Canis lupus familiaris: one gene and its partners. The protein of the gene in region 1 binds, or shares a complex with, the protein of each later gene. Links are inferred from orthologs where the notes say so. Each region holds a gene or a part of one and is shown on either strand. Other genes may lie near its edges. The genes, in order: CFB, CFP and CFD.

What was found.
Region 2: the proteins of CFB (region 1) and CFP are in contact, whole or in part, in a crystal structure (PDB 7NOZ), measured with the Homo sapiens proteins. The link is inferred for Canis lupus familiaris from reciprocal best matches to the Homo sapiens genes CFB and CFP. Residues at the interface, in NP_001701.2 of Homo sapiens: Glu54, Gln56, Ser78, Thr316, Tyr317, Leu349, Ser351, Met394; in NP_001138724.1 of Homo sapiens: Arg329, Arg330, Asn331, Lys333, Pro341, Met420, Val421.
Region 3: the proteins of CFB (region 1) and CFD are in contact, whole or in part, in a crystal structure (PDB 2XWB), measured with the Homo sapiens proteins. The link is inferred for Canis lupus familiaris from reciprocal best matches to the Homo sapiens genes CFB and CFD. Residues at the interface, in NP_001701.2 of Homo sapiens: Glu298, Ala301, Ser302, Ala332, Asp333, Ile469, Asp470, Glu471, Ser472, Glu518, Tyr519, Lys585, Asp758, Glu759, Asp760; in NP_001919.2 of Homo sapiens: Asn157, His158, Ala159, Gly160, Arg161, Arg162, Arg182, Thr183, Asp186, Arg200, Val228, Cys229, Gly230, Asn231, Arg232, Lys233.

What each region holds. Positions count from the first base shown.
Region 1 is NC_049233.1:1,532,027-1,536,221, forward strand, and holds the start of CFB (complement factor B), read left to right. Parts: upstream 1-1,395; 5' UTR 1,396-1,534; coding exon 1,535-1,598; intron 1,599-1,688; coding exon 1,689-1,922; intron 1,923-2,331; coding exon 2,332-2,517; intron 2,518-2,668; coding exon 2,669-2,842; intron 2,843-3,082; coding exon 3,083-3,184; intron 3,185-3,284; coding exon 3,285-3,421; intron 3,422-3,689; coding exon 3,690-3,828; intron 3,829-4,150; coding exon 4,151-4,195. Other genes in the region: complement C2, read left to right, coding at 90-216, 383-432, 583-753.
Region 2 is NC_049260.1:41,447,668-41,450,913, reverse strand, and holds the end of CFP (properdin), read left to right. Parts: intron 1-150; coding exon 151-324; intron 325-574; coding exon 575-763; intron 764-970; coding exon 971-1,082; intron 1,083-2,514; coding exon 2,515-2,680; 3' UTR 2,681-2,746; downstream 2,747-3,246. UniProt on the Homo sapiens protein: A positive regulator of the alternate pathway (AP) of complement. It binds to and stabilizes the C3- and C5-convertase enzyme complexes. Inhibits CFI-CFH mediated degradation of Complement C3 beta chain (C3b).
Region 3 is NC_049241.1:58,264,719-58,268,670, reverse strand, and holds CFD (complement factor D), read left to right. Parts: upstream 1-1,152; 5' UTR 1,153-1,310; intron 1,311-1,972; 5' UTR 1,973-1,985; coding exon 1,986-2,461; intron 2,462-2,550; coding exon 2,551-2,695; intron 2,696-2,781; coding exon 2,782-3,039; intron 3,040-3,411; coding exon 3,412-3,573; 3' UTR 3,574-3,630; downstream 3,631-3,952.

The DNA of each region.
Region 1 (4,195 bases):
CATGCCACCTCCCCTCCAAGGCTAGCAACTGTAGGTAGCCCCTGGGACTGCTCATTCCATCCCTCTGTCCCACTCTGCCCCTGCTGCAGTGGACAAGCTGTATTGAGGCCGTTTCCCAAGACAAAGCTATATTCCCCAACTTGAAGGATGTCCGAGAGGTGGTGACAGACCAGTTCCTATGCAGTGGGACAGGGAAGGATGACAATCCCTGCAAGGGTAAGTCCCTCCCACCCCCCCACCCCCACCCCGAGCCTGGATGGCTGAGGGAGAGACCACCGCCGTCCCTGCGGCCAGCATGCATGCCAAGACAGTGGTGCACTGCCCTGACGACAGGGGCAGGGTGAGAGTCAGAATGACAATTTCTTGTCCCTCCTTCTGGCAGGAGAATCTGGGGGAGCAGTTTTCCTTGAGCGGAGACACAGGTTTTTTCAGGTGAGGAGAGAAGGGGGATACTTACAGGAATGGGGTTACAAGATCATGGCCTTGCAGGGAGACGAGGGCGGCCTTTGAAGGAACTGGGGAGGTTGAGGCTTGGAGCTGAGGCTGTGACAGCCTCCCACCCCATTTCTCTCCCTCTTCCAGGTGGGCCTGGTGAGTTGGGGTCTCTACAACCCCTGTAGCAAGAGTAATAAAAACTCACGCCAGAGGCCCCCCAAGGGCAAGGAACCACGAGATTTTCACATAAACCTCTTTCGCCTGCAGCCCTGGCTGCGGCAGCACCTGGAGGATATCCTGAACTTCTTACCCCTCTAATTGTGGCCACCCATCCCTCTGTTGTCCTGCCAGCATCTGCCATCTGTCTTGTCTCGCACCCTTGAACTCAGACCCATGACCCATCTGTGCTCCCGGCAACCCCAGAGAAGCACATCCAGGCTGGGGAATCCCCAGGGGCGCACCCTCTCCTTTCCTTGACTCACTCTCCTTTCACTCATGTGGAATTACCCAGTTATGAAATTAATAAAAATCGACAATGTCCTCATCTGTCTGTGCCTCTACCTGGGGGGTGGCCGGGGGCGGGGGGAGGGGAGAGCGGAGGAAGGCCAGAATGATTCCAGGAACTGCAGGGAGGCAGGTCACGGACCCTGGCGCACAAACAGTGGCTGGACTCTGCTCTGTGACAGAGTGGACAGGGAGTGAGCCAGCCTTTATTTTTGGTCCCTAAGGGGGTGGTCTGGGCTTGTTGGGGGAGGAACTGGGGCTGAGAGGTGGTGTTGAAGGTGTCAGTCCAGGTTCACCGCAGCAAAGGGCAGGGCTTAGGCAGTTTCTATTTCCTTGACTGGCAGCTCTGCGGGGTGGGGGTGGAGGGCTCCCTCTTGGACATTCCGGAAAGTGGTGTGGGTCAGGTGGGCGGGGTGAGCCGCCAGTGCCAGAACAGATTGCATAAAGGGCCGGAGGTGGTGGGGGGGCAGGGGAAGAGACAGCAACCAGACTCAGGTCTGAAGTTTCGGCTTGGGTGCTGAGCGAAGCAGACAGGCAGCACCAGCCCGCAGAGACCACCCTGTCCCCACCCCCAGTCTCTCCTGCTCCCATCACCATGGGGAGCACTCTCATGCCTCAACTCTGCCTTATATCCTTGGTGCTGGGTCTCTTGTCTGGAGGTAAGAGAGGGTCACCACTCCCCCTTCCTGCTGCCCCCAGCTTCTTTCCTTGGCCTTGTGAGGCTGGGCTTCAACAGCCTTTCTCTTCAGGTGGGAGTGCCACGCCATTGTCTGAGGCCAGGCCCCAAGGCCCCTGCCCTCTGGAGGGAGTACAGATCAAAGGTGGCTCCTTCAGACTGCTCAAGGAGGGCCAGGCGCTGGAGTACCTGTGTCCCTCTGGCTTCTACCCATACCCCGTGCAGGCTCGCACCTGCAGATCCACGGGGTCCTGGAGCACCCTGCAGACCCAAGACAAAATGGTTGTCAAGAAGGCAGAATGCAGAGGTTGGAGGGCAGTGAGGGTGGGCACGGGGTGATGCAGGGATGGAGCAGGTGGTGGCCGAGGCCCAGCCTAGGACGCTGTGAGAGTTGGGTGGAGACCAAGCAGGTTGAGGGGTGAGGATGCTGAGCAAGTGCAGCAGCTGTCGAGGACTGAAGGGAGGGGGGTGGAAGAAGGGAGCGAATCTTCACTGAGCATTTATCCTGTGCCAGGCAGCCCCGGCAGTGAAAGGAACACTGAGAAAGGGGGAGCATGGAGAAGCAGGACTCATCATGGGTCAGGGGTAGGCGTGGTTTCTGAGGGACCAGAAAGACCCTATGTCTTTGTGATAGGGTCCCTGAGGCCCGGAGGGAGACTCTCAAGAGCAGCCCTAACTTCTCAGTAACTTCTGCTTGTCCTCCCCCTCCCCCAAAGCAATTCGGTGCCCAAGACCACAGGAGTTTGAGAATGGGGACTACTGGCCCCGGGCGTCCTACTACAATGTGAGTGATGAGATCTCTTTCCGCTGCTATGATGGTTTTACTCTCCGGGGCTCCGCTAACCGCACCTGCCAGGCCACAGGTCGCTGGGACGGACAGACGGCCATCTGTGATGATGGAGGTGAGCAGCATCCCCTCCCCCGTCGACGGGATCCTCTCCCTCCTGGGGGCCGTGTTCCAGCCTGAGGAAGGGGCGTCACAACTCCTGTGCTCTCCTGTGCCATCCGGGCCTCAGGCTTTGGCTCTCACCTCCGCATCTCGTGCTTCTGTAGCGGGCTACTGCCCCAACCCGGGCATCCCCATTGGCACAAGGAAGGTGGGCATCAACTACCGCCTTGAAGACAGAGTCACCTACTACTGCAGCCGAGGCCTCACCCTGCGTGGCTCCCAGCAGCGGACATGCCAGGAAGGCGGCTCTTGGAGTGGAACCGAGCCTTCCTGCCAAGGTGATGCTTGCCCCATGCCCTCAGGTTCAGATCCCGCTCTTTCATCCTCCTGTCCCTACCCCAGAGCCCTGTCTTCTCCCTGTAGTGCAGCCCAGCTCCTCCCCTCGCTTCACCTGCCCCTAGAACGTCCTCACTGCGGAGCCCTTCCTGCCCCGAAACCCACCTACTGTCCCGTCCCTGTCCATGTGTCTCTGGCCCTCCCCCCACCCTGACACGTGACCTGCTTTCTGCCCTCCCCAGACTCCTTTATGTATGACACCCCTGAAGAGGTAGCCGAAGCCTTCCTGTCGTCCCTGACTGAGACCATAGAGGGCGTGGATGCTGAGGATGGCCACATCCCAGGTTTGAGTGCAGACCACGGAGGGAGGCAGGGAACTAGGGGAGGACGAAGAGGCAGGAGGACCCTGCGTGCCAGAGCCTGAGTTTTTCTGGTGGCACCCAGGGGAGCAGCAAAAGAGGAAGATTGTCCTGGACCCGTCGGGCTCCATGAACATCTACCTGGTGCTGGACGGATCAGACAGCATCGGGGCTGGCAACTTCACAAGAGCCAAGAACTGTCTCCGGGACTTCATTGAGAAGGTGGGGCCCCTGCTAGAACTAGTTCCCTGGTGTCCCCAGCCCCTCTGGGCTGCAGAACCTCAGAAAACCTCTGGTCCTATACTGTCTTTCCTCCTTTTTACTTGAAGTCGTTTCTTGACCTTTCACCCCATCACCCAGGCAAACCTCAGGGTGACCCATGAGCCTTTGGGTTTCTGAGGAAAACCTTCCCTGTCCCAGAGAAGCTGCTGACCTCTCCCAACCCTAGTCTTCTTTCAACGCCATGACCCTTTGCTCCCCTAACCCACAGGTGGCAAGTTATGGGGTGAAGCCAAAATATGGTCTAGTGACATATGCTACAAACCCCAAAGTCTGGGTCCGAGTGAGGGACAAAAACAGCAGCGATGCCGACTGGGTCACAAAGATACTCAACCAAGTCAGCTATGAAGGTCAGAGGTCAGGGAAGGGACTGGTGGAGGAGGGGTCACTTTGGAATCAGAGAAGTCAAAAGACTCAGGGTGGTTGTGGGGAGACCACGTGAGAAATCAGGGAAGACCACTTTGCGTCTGGGGTTAGACGGCAGACTTGTTGGTGAATATGGGTCACCGGGGACCTATCGGGGGCTGAGGAGGTCACTTTTGTGGCCAAAGGAAAGCCAGTGGGGTGGCAACTCAAGAACCTGAGAGATGTGGGATTTCAGTTGTTGGCGGGCCTCTCAGGGTCATGGATGACTTAGCCAACCAGGCAAGGTGACCGCTTCCCTTTCCCCAGATCACATGTTGAAGTCCGGGACCAACACCAAGAAGGCCCTGGAGG
Region 2 (3,246 bases), on another chromosome or scaffold:
GAACAGATGCTCTGCCATCTCAGAGGATAGAGGTCTTAGAGCACGTGACCGCAGAACTCTTCATTCTGGAACAATCTGCCTCAAGAGTCTAGGGGCTGAGGGGGAGATCGAGGTGGCCTATCTTCTCATTCCTCTCTCTACCCCCAACAGTGGCTGGGGGCTGGGGGGCGTGGGGCCCTGTGAGCCCCTGCCCTGTGACCTGTGGCATGGGCCAGACCCTGGAAAAACGGATGTGTAATCACCCTGCGCCCCAGCATGGGGGCCCCCCCTGCGCTGGCGATGCCGTCCGAACCCACATCTGCAATACAGCTGTGCCCTGCCCTGGTCGGTACCACAAGATTCCCTGTCTCCATGCCTAAGCCTCTCACCCATCCCTGCTGCCCAGTTCCTGCTGCTAATGCTTTGCTCCTGCCTCTCATTCCCCTATTCCCAGCCCTGTTGCTTCCGCCCCACCTCTGGTCCCCCAGCCCCACATCTGATCACCTCCACTCCTTCCCCTGGGTTTTCATCCCTTCCTCTGAATCCCCTCACTGGCTCCCTTTGGTGCAAGCCCTGGTTGCCCCTGTCTGTGCAGTGAATGGAGAGTGGGGGTCCTGGGAGGAGTGGAGCACTTGTGCCCGTCGGGGCATAAACATCATGTGTAAGGCGATCCCAGGCCAGCAGACACGCTCCAGGAGCTGCAAGGGCCGCAAGTTTGATGGACAGCGGTGTGTTGGAGAACAACAAGATATCCGTCACTGTTACAACATTCAACACTGTGACTGTGAGTGTTCCCCACAGACTACACTGTGAGGATGGGGCAGCCCCTGCAGCAAGAAGGGGTTTCTGACTCTACCATGGACCCCCATGTCCCTGCCACCTCTCAGTCTCTCTCTCTCTCTCTCTCTCTCTCTCTCTCTCACACACACACACACACACACACACACACACACACCACCCTGCTGAGACCTCTCATTCTGACTCATTGCAGGGAAAGGCTTATGGTCAGAGTGGAGTACCTGGGGTCTGTGCGTACCCCCATGTGGACCCATGCCCATCCGCACCCGCCAGCGCCTCTGCATGGCCCAGCTCCCCAAGTTCTCGTAAGTGAGGGGGCAAAATGTGCTCAGGAGGGGGTCACGACAGCCATATGTGAGCAGTGATGGTGGGAGAGTCAGCTCAGCTCCCCACAACCAGGGCATCCACCCCTTGGGTCTATGGTACCTGCCTTGACGAGTGTTATCTCCCACCTGCAGGAAGAGGAGAGACACTAATGAAGCAGCTGAGAAAGAGGATACTGAGGGGGAGAATCAGTGGCCACTGTGCCCTTGGGTCTCTCATTTGGTCACTCAGCCATCCTGCCGCTCACCCAGGCTTTCCTGTGACCAGGCACTTGGCCCTTTTGGTCACCCAAGCTTGGGTCTGCCCCTAAAGCCACTCAGGCCTTCGTTCTCTTACTCATTCCTTCAGCCACCCACATCTCACTCAATGTCTCACGGCCTCAGGACCTGGGAGGCTTTCCCCCAACAATTGAAAACACACAGAACCCAGGTCCCATGGGTCCCCCCAAGGGATACAGGTCAACAAGGGCCTGACAGAAGGCAGATGAGGAACAGTTGGTACAATGGAGAAGGGACTGATACCTCGCCCCAAGTCCATGTAGCCAATCGGATCTCACCTGGCAGGAAGGGGTCAGCAAAGGCATTCCCAGTGTTAAGACTGTGAGAGCAGAGTCCTGGATACTGGTGACCAGCTGCCCAAAGTTGGTTTTTCCTGGGGGCCTAGGTGTTAACAGAGGGTAAAAACATCATCCCTTCTTTATTTCCACATACCTCGAGCCACTAGATTAAGTGAGCTACACTCCACTTGTGAAACACCTGCCATCTGGAAGTGGTCTCTGGTTCTGGGGTTTCTAGTAGGTCCTGAAGAAGAGTTAAAGGTGTTGAGTAGAGGTAGGAAGCACTTGGCAGAGTTGGGATATGAATGGATTTGATGGAGGGAACAGGGGTGAGAGTGAATGAATGGAATGCATGTCTCATGGGAGGAACAAAGGTCCAGGCAAAGGTCCAGGCAAAGACCACTCTGGACATGGGACTGTGGATAAAGTGGAAAAGAGAGATCTTGGGGCAGGCACCTGGGCCCCAAAACAAGGCCTTGAATACCAGGGCAAAGCATTTGGGGACTTTTCCCCATGGGCACTGGGGAAAGATATAAGGAGTTTAGGAGGTAAGAGAAGGTAGGTCTTGTCAACGAGTAACAATTACCAGCATTTATTGAGTACTTACTGTGTACCAGACGCCACTCTGAGCACTTTACCAAAATTAATTCATTTATCCTCACTCAGCCCAGTAAGGTGGGTATTATTATTATTCCAATTATTCTCATTTTCCAGATGAGCATGGGGAAGATAAATTGCCCAATATCTCATAGGTAAAAAATAGTGTTGGGCACACAGTAGGTATTCATTATGAGTTTATTGAATGCATTCTTACCTTCCCTGAGCTTCTCCCCTCCATTCCCCCTCTAATGCCCCAGGCCAACCATTACTGTGGTCGAAGGTCAGGGTGAGAAGAACGTGACCTTCTGGGGGAAACCTTCAGCACAGTGCGAGACGCTGCAGGGGCAGAAGGTGGTGGTGGAGGAGACTCGGCCATGTCTACACGTGCCTGCCTGCAAAGACCCTCAGGATGAGAAGCCCTAACACCTGTCTCTTCTGCCCTGATCCCCTGACCTCCCAGACCTCAATAAATGAGCCTCTTCCCCAGGAGTGAAGCAGTAGCATCTTCTAGGCCAAAAGGCACAGCACGGGCAGAGTCGCTGTGGCTTGTTGTGGAAAACAGTATTTTCCATTGCGGCCACGGTTTGGCAGGAGCGAAGGCGCGAGTACCCATCCCCTCCCCGCTGCCTTAGCCCCAGCGTCTGCCCCTCTCCCCTCCTTGCGCCAAGTCCCAGGGCGTCCGGCACATCCCTCTGCAGAGCTCTGCGTTACAGGCTTTCTGGTTGGTCACTCGGCCCGGCCGGCACTTTCTGATTGGCCGGCGTGCCCGAGGTTCCCACCCGTCGGAGCCTCTGGGCTGGCGGGTTGCGCATCAATCCGGTGCTGAGCCGCACAGCAGAGGCGGCAGAGGTGTGGCTGGGGTTGGCACTCCGCCGGCGAACACCTGCACCCACCCACTCTCAGCAGCCCAGATCCAGTGCTGCAATTAACGGAGACCCAAAGTGGGGTGGCGGTTGGCCGGGGGTGGACCGAGGAAGTGCCTACGAGGT
Region 3 (3,952 bases), on another chromosome or scaffold:
GGCTCACGGACGGAACCACGGCAGCTGCTGAGGCCTGCGCTGTGGCAGGTGCGCCCCGAGGGCCCCCGGCTGGCCCTCTGTGTCCCCGACAGGTGACGAGGTACAGGTCCAGGCAGGGGTGAAGCCGCACCCGGGAGCCCACGCTGGAGCCCCAGCTCTGTGACCGGTCAACTTCCCTGAGCCCGTTTCCGTTAATTTTTTTTTAAGTTTTTAATTTTGTTTATTTTTTAATTTTAAATTTTCTTTATTTTTTAAAAGATTTTATTTATTTATTCATAAGAGACATACAAAGAGACAGAGAGGTTGAGAGAGGAAGACCGGCAGAGACCCAGGCAGAGGGAGAAGCAGGCTCCGTGCGGGGAGCCCGAGGCGGGACTCGATCCGGGACCCGGGGTCACGCCCTGGGCCAGAGGCAGATGCTCACCCGCCGAGCCCCACAGGCGCCCCCACCCTGAGCCTGTTTCCCTGCAGGAAGTACCGAGGCGAGGGTCCGCGTCCCAGCCGCCCCCCACCTGCACTCCTGATGGAGATCACAGCAGGGGCTCCCGGGCGGGGCTCTGGCCCTGGGGCCCCACGGCCTTGGCCGGTCCCTGGCGGCCCCCTCCCTACGCGGCGTCCGGCTGCCGTGCGATTGGCCCTTCAGCCTAGTATTGCACCATATACCCTGGCGGTGTCTCCGCGGCCACCGGGCCCCTGGGGGTGCTCGGGGCCCTTTGTCAAACCGCCGTCTTGCCGAGTCGTCCCCAAGCCTTGCTGAGATGCCCACCTCTTCCAGGAGCTGGGCTCCATCCCCTACAGGACTTGTTTGGCTACTGACCTCAGCAAGGAAACCTGTCAGGATCTAGCAAATCACGGTCGTGTTCTGTCCATCCTTCTCTGTGTATGCAACAGTCCACGGCGAAGAGAAAGAAGGGCAACGTTGCGCAATGCGCCCATTGGGGACGTCCAAGGTCCACCCCACCCTCATGGTCCCAGCACTGGCCCCGCTGTGGGTTCGTGAGACGTGGATCTGTCGTCCCCCCCTGCTAGAGAGGGCCATGTAACCCTTGGCTGACCAGAATCTGCCATCCCTTGCTCACAGCGATTGGTTTGGGAGGGGACACGTGAGGGAAGCTCAGCTAATCAGCACGGCCTGGACAAGTTGGCTGGAAGGATGGAGGATTTGGGAGGGGCCTGCCCAGCCACTGGGCTGGGTCTGGGGCTTTTGGGGTCACAACGAGGGAGACTGTTGAGGAGAAAAGCCACCGAGGAGGAAAGGAGAAACCACAGACAGAGATAGTTCAGGCTCCTGGATCAAACCACACCTGAAGGTAGGCCCCCCTGAAATTCCCATTTAAATTTCCTTGTTGAAGACTCTACCGAGTTCAACTTGGTAGTTTTTCTAAGAGATTTATTTCTTTGAGAGACAGAGAGAGAGAGAAAGAGAGAGAGAGGGAGAAAGAATGAGCATGGGCAGTGGGGAGGGGCAGAAGGAGCATCAGGCTCCTCGCTGAGCGGGGAGCCCAGGACCCGGGATCGTGATCTGAGCCGAAGACGCACGCATCATCCCGACTGAGCCACCCAGGTGCCCCTCGGCTTGGCTTTTCTGTCACTTGTAGCCCACAGTTCCTCCAGCTGCCTCCACACCGCCTCTTTAATATGCGCCTCGTTGGGGTGTCAGGCCCCGGTGCCCCTGGGGACGAGCATGTCAGGCCACCTCCCATCCCCACCCTGACCTCTCCTCCAAGTTGGGGGAGGAAGAGAAACAAGAGAAGGGCGGAAATATGAGGAAGTTGGTTGTTTATAAACTGTGGTCTCCAGCTGCTGTTGCAAAACTTGGGGCGGGGAGAGCACCCTGGGGAGATGGGGGGGCAGCGGGGCCGGGCCTGCTCTGGCCTCTGCGCGTCCTGGGCTCGGCTGCCACAGGGCCAGGCCAGCAGGTGGGTGTGCGGAGCGCTGCCCCCCGCCCGGCTCACACGCGTGCCCGTCCCAGGCCCCACGGCAGCATGGCCCCCCGCCTCGGCCCGGTGCCCCTGGTGCCCCTGGTGCTGCTAGGAGCCGCCCTGTGTGGTGAGTGGACCTGGGCCCAGGGGACCGGGCGGGCGGGCAGCCGGGGAGGGGAGGCGCGGCTCCACCTGGACGGGGGCTCTGCACCCGAGGGACTCCCCGAGGCGGGAGCGCCAGGGCCGAGCTCTGCCCACGCGGGGCCCACGCAGGACGCAGCCCCGCGGGCCGAGCTCGCGCTGAGCCCGGAGGCGCCGCGTGGGGCGCGGGCTTGGCCCAGACCCCCGTCACCCGCCCCCCGCCTGCCCCTCCCCCCCGCAGCCGCGCAGCCTCGTGGGCGCATCCTGGGCGGGAGCGAGGCCGAGTCCCACGCGCGGCCCTACATGGCGTCGGTGCAGGTGGACGGCAAGCACGTGTGCGGCGGCTTCCTGGTGTCGGAGCGCTGGGTGCTGAGCGCGGCGCACTGCCTGGAGGACGTGTGAGCGGCGGGCGCGGCGGGCGCGGAGGGGCGCGGCGGGGCGGGGCGGGGCGCCGCGGACGAGGCTGTGACCCCAACCCCGCTCCCAGGGCCGACGGGAAGGTGCGGGTGCTCCTGGGCGCGCACTCCCTGTCGCAGCCGGAGCCGTCCAAGCGCTGGTACGACGTGCTGCGGGCGGTGCCCCACCCCGACAGCCGGCGCGACACCATCGAGCACGACCTCCTCCTGCTGCAGGTGAGCACCTGGGCCGCCGCGGGGGCCGCCACCTGGGCCGCAGGCCCGCCCCGCGCCGCCCTGACCCCGCGCCGCCCCCTCCGCAGCTGTCCGAGGACGCCGAGCTGGGCCCCGCCGTGCAGCCCCTGCGCTGGCAGCGCGAGGACCGCGACGTGGCGGCCGGGACGCGCTGCGACGTGGCGGGCTGGGGCGTGGTCAGCCACACGGGCCGCCGGCCCGACCGCCTGCAGCACCTGATCCTGCCGGTGCTCGACCGCGCCACCTGCAACCTGCGCACGTACCACGACGGCACCATCACGGAGCGCATGATGTGCGCGGAGAGCAACCGCCGGGACAGCTGCAAGGTGCGCGGGCGGGGCGGGGCAGCAGGGTGGGCGGGGCCACCGAGGGGGCGGGGCCGGCGGGGTGGGCGGGGCCACCGAGGGGCGGTGGCAACAGGATGGGCGGGGCCACCGAGGGGCGGGGGCCGGCGGGGTGGGCGGGGCCACCGAGGGGCGGTGGCAACGGGATGGGCGGGGCCACCGAGGGGCGGTGGCAACAGGATGGGCGGGGCCACCGAGGGGCGGGGCCGGCGGGGTGGGCGGGGCCACCGAGGGGCGGGGCCGGCGGGGTGGGCGGGGCCGGACCACCGCGGGGCGGGGCCCGACCCGGGTCAGACCAGGTGCGCAGGCGAGGGGCGAGGCCGCGGGCGCCGCGCTCACGGCCCGTCCCCGCAGGGCGACTCCGGGGGCCCGCTGGTGTGCGGCGGCGTGGCCGAGGCCGTGGTCACCTCGGGCTCGCGCGTGTGCGGCAACCGCAAGAAGCCCGGCATCTACACGCGCGTGGCGAGCTACGCGGCCTGGATCGACGGCGTGATGGCCGGGGGCGCGGCCGCCTGAGGAGGCCCGGGGGGCGGCGGGCGCGGGGGCCGAGCAATAAAGTCCTGTCCTGCATGAGCCCCGCCCGCTGAGCACGCGCCGCCGGCCGCGGGGCGGGGACCCGAGGGCGCAGGTCCCCGCTTGGCCGCACGGGGGCGCCCCGAGTCTTCCACCCGAGATGGAGGGGCTGGGTGGGGGTCCACGCGGAGGTGCCGCCTCCGCCCAGCGATGTCCGGCCTCCTCCGTCGGGTCTTCCCCACCGTGTGCGGGGCCCTGCTCCGGACTGAGCACCCTCTGAAGTCAAGCTGTTCTTGTGACCCACGGCCCACGTGGGGAAACTGAGGCTCGGGTCCGAGGGAGCCCCCGGGCAGAGCCTGCATTTGGCCCCAGAGCCACGGCA